Linked DNA regions of Drosophila melanogaster. The protein of the gene in region 2 interacts with the protein of the main gene of each other region in a pairwise test. Each region holds a gene or a part of one and is shown on either strand. Other genes may lie near its edges.

What was found.
Region 1: the proteins of LysP (region 2) and BCAS2 interact in a two-hybrid assay, tested with the Drosophila melanogaster proteins (one large-scale study listed by BioGRID).

What each region holds. Positions count from the first base shown.
Region 1 is NT_033777.3:27,920,669-27,924,570, forward strand, and holds BCAS2 (BCAS2), read right to left. Parts: upstream 1,689-3,902; 5' UTR 1,606-1,688; coding exon 1,531-1,605; intron 1,464-1,530; coding exon 702-1,463; 3' UTR 615-701; downstream 1-614. Other genes in the region: CG12259 (uncharacterized protein), read right to left, coding at 1-326; RpL4 (ribosomal protein L4), read left to right, coding at 2,249-2,251, 2,457-2,637, 2,702-3,072, 3,472-3,902.
Region 2 is NT_037436.4:1,217,378-1,220,752, reverse strand, and holds LysP (lysozyme P), read left to right. Parts: upstream 1-2,056; 5' UTR 2,057-2,070; coding exon 2,071-2,496; 3' UTR 2,497-2,671; downstream 2,672-3,375. UniProt on the Drosophila melanogaster protein: Unlikely to play an active role in the humoral immune defense. May have a function in the digestion of bacteria in the food.

The DNA.
Region 1 (3,902 bases), on a different chromosome or scaffold from region 2:
TTCTCCGCCTGAATGGCCTCCAGGGCGCGCTGCTTCTCCCGATCCTTTTCGTCCTTCTTCTGGGCGAGCTTCTTCTCCCGTTCCCGCACTATATCCTCCTGCTTGGCCTTCATCTCGTCGAGGGTGACCAGACCAATGGTCGAGGACTTGAGCTGCTGCTCCACGGCATCGTAGTGGGTGGCAAACTTGTTCTCAATCTTGTCCAGCTTGAGCTCCTCCTCGATCTTCTTCTTGCGAAACTCGATCTCCTGCTGCTGGATCTCCCGCTTCTTCATCAGCTGGGCTGCACGGCCCGCCTCGCTGGCGGCACCTTTGTAGTGGGCCATCCTTAGTTGTTTCTGTATTTATTTATATTTTTTTTTATTTAATTCGTAAACGAAATTTGTAAACATCCAATTGGTGTGACCGTAGCAGAAACATTGAAAAATGCCATTCTTCGTATAAAAAATTTACAGCACAAAACACTACCTTACCAATTTGAAATAATAAAATATTTAATCTTGAAATTATTTAAAATTTACTAGCTGTCCATTCCCCTGATATAAGAGCAAAAAGAAGAGGATCACTATTTCTCTGCAACGATTTTGAAAAATAAAGATAAATCTTAGATTTTTAGCTGTTTTTTTTAATATCCTTTATATTTAGTTACAGTCGTAAGTTTTTCTTTAACTTGCTTCATGCTTTCGCTCAGTGTACTAAATCTACGTTGATCCATTGGAAGATTCCTCCTGTGCCTCGGATTTGTCCTCCTCCTTGCTGTCACCATCGGCATCTGTTCCATCATCGCCAGGTTGGCTTGGATCTGGATTGCTGGAGCTACTGCCGTTGCTCTCGGCCAAATCGTTCTGGTCGAAACCATTCGTGTATTCCGGCGTTGGAGCCGTGTCATTGGCGCTGGGCGGCGGGGTAATCTTCCGCAGCTGCTGACGGGCGGCATGGACGATCTTTTCCAGCTCGACGCACTCCGTCTCGATCTCGTAGTTCTTGGAGACCAGCAGCACCCAATGGGCTTCCAGGGAGCGCAGTCGCTCGCCGGCCTGCGTTTGCGCCTGCTTGCGCTGCCAGTTGACATCTTGAATGTCCTTCTTCAGCTGCTGCAGCTGGAGCTGCGCCTTCGCCTGCATGGCGGTGAAGACCTCCAGGTAGGACTTCCATGCCTCCGTGCCGTAGTCGAGCATTAGCTCCAGGTTGAGAGAGCGCACCCACTGGTGCTCCAGCTGGGCCATCGAGTTCTCAATGGCCTCCTGCCAGGCGGACACCTCCGACAATTTGCCCGATGGCGGCGGTGGCAGTTCGTAGCGCTTCATGGAGAGCGTCTCCATGGGCAGGCGGTTCTGGATGCGCTCGAACTCGTTGGCCATCAGCGGAGTCTCAAAGGGCGAGCTGGCGGGCAGTGGCAGATGGTCAAGGTAATTTTTTGTGGGCCTATAGCGCCGGCATTCCTCCTCCACCATGGCGAGAGCCTTTGGAAGAAGAAGATGCCATTTCAAAGTCAGTTTCAACGTGCAACATGGATATCCGTATATTTACCGATTCCCGGACGCCCACATCGTCATAGCCGTGATCTATGTAGGGCAGAGCATCCACAATAACTTCGCCAGCCATTATTTATTATTAATTTCTGTGTTTTGAGACTGTTTTTTCCGCAAGTAAACAAATACAATTGCCGCTTCGCACTAGTGTGGCACATTTAGCTACTTTATAGCTATATAAACGGATAACAGAATGCTGTTAATTAATAGCCATATATCTATTTAGTAAATTTTTTTGTTTTAACATGAACATTTAAGCAAAAAATAAGCGTTGTTTTCTCACCAATAAAAGTTGTGTAAGTTAGTTTTTAACGTATGTATGTATTATGTATTGTTTGATTATTTATTATGCGGTTAAATTACAACAATTGTATTCTTGTTCTTTAAAAACGCATTGCTAATTTATAAATTTAACTAAAATACGTTATTGATAAATTCGAATTTAGATTTGTAATATTATAGTTTAATTGCGAGAATATAAACAAAAACTTCTCTTACGAGAGAAAAAAAAAGCTAAAAGTGTTGGACAGCGTCCAATTAGCCCTGTAAGCTTGACACTTGCTGCTGTTAGCAAATGCAACCATGCGCCGTGGAACGCGATTGGCAGCCATTTCCGGCAGCTCTCTTTCTTTCTTCGTTCTTCTTAATAAAAAGAGGACGGTATCTGCGTTTGCAGAATATTTAGCACCTTTCATTGGGTTTGAAAATCAACGAAAATGGTGAGAAACGAAGCACAAGGCACTCCGCAACCGCAGCAGACCCCAAAACATTGGATTTAACACACGAAACGATGCGAAAATAGTGCAAAAGTGTCGCCCTAACCTCCACGTGTTTGGAATGTGCGGCGATGGCGAAATGCGCTTGTTGTGTTTTGTGATGTGAAATGATCAGTGAACTAAACCCGAATACCATGTGCACTTTCAGAGCTTAGGCAACGCCAGGCCATTGGTCTCCGTGTACACGGAAAAGAACGAGCCAGCCAAGGACAAGAACATATGCCTGCCGGCAGTGTTCAAGGCGCCCATTCGTCCGGATGTGGTCAACGAGGTTCACCAGCTGCTCCGCCGCAACAACCGACAGGCCTACGCCGTCAGCGAGCTGGCTGGTGAGTAAACTGTTTATAACTCCTCTTTTGTGTGAATCTAACCCGTTTGAATTCCTGTTTGCAGGTCACCAGACCTCCGCCGAGTCCTGGGGTACCGGACGTGCTGTGGCCCGTATTCCCCGTGTGCGTGGTGGCGGTACCCACCGTTCCGGCCAGGGAGCCTTCGGCAACATGTGCCGTGGTGGACGCATGTTCGCCCCCACCAAGACGTTCCGTCGCTGGCACCGCAAGGTGAATGTCAACCAGCGTCGCTACGCCCTGGTGTCGGCCATCGCCGCCTCAGGAGTGCCAGCTCTGGTCCAGTCCAAGGGACATGTCATCGACGGCGTCTCCGAGTTCCCGCTGGTCGTGTCCGATGAGGTGCAAAAGGTCCAGAAGACCAAGCAGGCTGTCATCTTCCTGCGTCGCCTGAAGATCTGGGCTGACATCCAGAAGGTGGGTAACTTTGTACACCTATGAAGAACTTAATCCGAAGAATGTTAGGTCACTTAACTGTGCGTCTATTCAACTTCAACGTATTTATTTAACAAAACGTGAAGTTGTGATGTTTTAATTGCAAAGTTATAACTTTTTATTGGATTCCTACTTTTCGGATGCTTTCTAAATCTTACTTGGCAGCGTGCAAGCAACTGGCTACTCTTCTGGTTGTCCGATGCTTGCAGGGATCTCCTGCGTTGCCAGATAAAATGCTCTTCTTGGCGTTACGATTGAAACTTGATTCACGGCTTCCATCGTGGTAACGGAAGAGCAACAGCTGTTGTATTCATGTTCTCTATTTCCGAATTCCTGGAATATACATACTCACTATCAACTTGTTTCTCATTCATTTCGCAGGTGTACAAGTCGCAGCGCTTCCGTGCTGGCCGTGGTACCATGCGCGACCGTCGCCGCATCGCTCGCCGTGGTCCCCTGGTGGTCTACGACAAGGACGAGGGTCTGCGCAAGGCCTTCCGCAACATCCCCGGCATTGAGACCATCAACGTGGACAAGCTCAATCTGCTGAAGCTGGCCCCCGGCGGTCATGTCGGTCGCTTTGTCATCTGGACCGAGTCGGCTTTCGCCCGCCTGAACGATCTGTTCGGCACCTGGAAGAAGCCGTCCACCTTGAAGAAGGGCTACAACCTGCCCCAGCCCAAGATGGCCAACACCGATCTGTCGCGTCTGCTCAAGTCTGAGGAGATCCGCAAGGTGTTGCGCGATCCCCGCAAGCGTGTGTTCCGCAGCGTGCGCCGCCTGAACCCCCTGACCAACGTGCGCCAGCTGAT
Region 2 (3,375 bases):
CACTCCCTCGCTGCTGTCTATTTCTTCGCCGCTGAAGACGTCGATGGTCGCTCACAAGTCCCCAGGCAGTGGGGACTCCAGATTCCTTCGCAGCCAGGGGGGCAGGACTTCTTTGGTTTTGTTAATGCTGGTGCTGGTGCTGGACATGCCTGGTATTTTGGAACTTCATTAATTGTGGGTATATTTTTAATATTATCTGAGTGAGTTTTCTCGAGCTTATGGGTCTTTAATTCTTGCTGATATTGCAACAAGTGGTCTAGCTCTGCATGTAGCTTTAGAGCTTTCGACCAAACCGGTGGCGTTTGCTGACCGTATATTAGCCACCTTACGTGGGCTATACGTTTATTCAGCTTAGTTTTCAAACCGCCACGGTGTTTGCCCATACTCAATAGAACTCTACTCACTCAGATTTTTCCTTGGTTTTTGCAGTTCCATTTAATTAGTCCAGTCTTCTTCCAGTCCAGTGTTCCTTTGTTCCTTTGTTTTCACCAGCTTTGGTCAATTCGTCCAGCGTTGGACGACTGTCACGGTCGCCATGTAATGATGAACTGCTTGTCACGATAACTAGTCGTCATAGTTTATGCTAAGCTATGCTATGCTCTCGATTCGTTAACATTTACACTTGTGTAATGATGAACTCCAATTAAGAACACAAGTCCGTTTTAAGTTTAAGGCAGCCGTCGGGCTGACATATATTTATTCAATTTCTTCTTTTGATTTTAGAGTAGGCAGAAATGGTTCTGTCAGCTCAACGTCTACAGAGTCTCTCCGATTTTACAGTTTTTTATATATTTGGACTTAGGCTAATCCGCGTAGCTGCGCTGCCGGGTACGCCAGCAGCGGAGCGGCGTTCTTATGTATATCTTATATATCTAGGCTTATCGGGAGAGCGAGATATGTATGTACGTATGTAATATGTATTTGGTCGGCGTGTGAATGCTGACCATGCACTTATACTTTGTGGCCTTCGAGTGGGTGATCATGTTACATCCGCCCTGGCCTAACTGCGTGCATAAACATAAACATAAACATAGCAACAAAGTGCTGCCATAAGTTAATATGCTATTTTATTTAATTGTTCTTAATATTGCATAGGCACATACTACTATATCAACAATGACGGTGAATTGGCTGACTGAATTGGCTTAGAAGGGGCTGGCCCATTGAGCTGCCAAGAGCCCATCGAGTTCGAGTAGCCGAAAAAGATAGAGCTCCGGGGCCGCCCAAGTGGTAATCCAGATGATTAATCACACTTTCGGCCGGCCATAAAACCAGAGCACGACCGGGGGCTAATAGCTGCAGTCAAGTGGAGCTGTTTCGCCATGAAACCACTGCGAAGTCGGACATTAAACTTGGGCCGTGCAACAGACGGGATGGGAATTCGTCTGGGCCAGAGAAAGAGCTACTGCCACAGCCACAACCGTAGTCATGCAGTGCAGTTTGCACTGTTCGAATAGCTCGAATGCCGCACAATGAATAACGTTGAATAATTAGCCCCCACATGCAACCCCACCCGAGTTGCGTGAGCAGGGACCCACCGCGGAATGGCCAAGACAATGCAATGCCTACTTTATTAGAGATAAATATTCCGAATAGTTGATGGAAGACAGACTTCAGCCGACTTCAACCGAATGGATCTCTTACGCACAAAGCTGAGATACGCTTCACTTCGACGTATTTAATGCGTAGATCGTCCGCTCGAGAGTGAAGGAACCACCACCATATCTGGTGGCTAAAGACTTCCGTATTTTTGGAGGTACTCGAAGTGACGTGCCTGTTTTGAAGCATAGTAGGAGTGATTTTCTAGCGGCTAAGATGGTAAACAAATGATAGGCTAACAACAAACATAACCTACAGATAAGAACTTAACTTGGTGGAACATTTAATTCAACGAAGGAGTGAATTGAACTACCTACATTGTATGGGAAAGCCACCTTGTTTGCACCCTAATGATGGGTAAACAGTACTGATTGCTGATTCTACCATGTTGACTCAACTGCGACCACTTGCATGCTCTTCGGCTATAAATATTTCGCGACCGCTCATCGAATTATAAATGAATTCAGTAAGATGAAAGCTTTTCTTGTGATTTGTGCTCTGACTCTCACAGCAGTCGCTACCCAGGCCCGAACGATGGATAGGTGTTCCCTAGCCAGGGAGATGTCCAAACTGGGCGTTCCCCGGGACCAGCTGGCCAAGTGGACCTGCATCGCCCAGCACGAGAGTTCCTTCCGCACCGGCGTCGTTGGACCGGCCAACTCCAACGGATCCAATGACTACGGCATCTTTCAGATCAACAACAAGTACTGGTGCAAGCCGGCCGACGGACGCTTCTCCTACAACGAGTGCGGCTTGAGCTGCAATGCCCTCCTAACCGACGACATCACCAATTCCGTGAAGTGCGCCCGGAAGATCCAGCGCCAGCAGGGATGGACTGCTTGGTCCACATGGAAGTACTGCAGCGGATCCCTGCCCTCGATCAACAGTTGCTTCTAGTCTCGCCCCCTCCCCCCCCTTCACACACTCATACTAAATGAAAGTTGTTGCCAAAGGAAGATGAGAAGAAGAGTTGTTTGAAGTACAAAAATGTATCTTCGAGATAAGTATCTGTGAGCTGAAGACATCTTAATCGGATAAAGTCGAACAATAGCCAGTTAGTGTTATAAATCATATAACTCCTCGTTGACTTTTTCGATATTCATGCACTTTAAGACTCATATTTCTCGAGTGTAATTGGTTCGTGATCTTTCAGCAATTGCAAAACTGTCTCCGATGGAAATGGAAATAGGAGAGCCTTTTTGGCTCAACAAGCGGCGAAAAGTGAAATTTTATATAATGGCCCACACATAACAGAGTCATTATGACAGTTGGCCTGGCCAAAGCGACTGAGATCTATTAGACATTACGGCCGCAAAGCGGAGCGTCAGTCTTGGCCAGTTGATGGCAAATGGCTGGCTGGTAAACAAGTTAATTTAATTTCCAGGCATAAAACAAATTACGTATGAAAAGTCGCCGTTATCGCGGCGTTTATTTATCATGCCCGTTGCGATGAAAACGCATAGTGTCTCTGGTGGCGAGTGCCAACGGACTTTGGCTCGGATCGAAACAATTTCGATTCAATTGCATCTATGGCAGAGCGGGGACGTGGACACGATGTAGGTCTATGGGATTGCCATTTGCGTCTAATCGCCGGAGATCAACTTTGCCATTTGGGGCTCGTTTAGGCCTGGCCAGATGGCAAAAAAAAATGGCAAAAGATGGCAAAAGGCAATGACAAGTTGGAGCCAGAGCCCAGAGCCTAATGTATTAATTTGTAGCGCTATTCTCAAGGGTGTCGGTTGAACGACATTCCTCGGATTGGACACAACACATTGG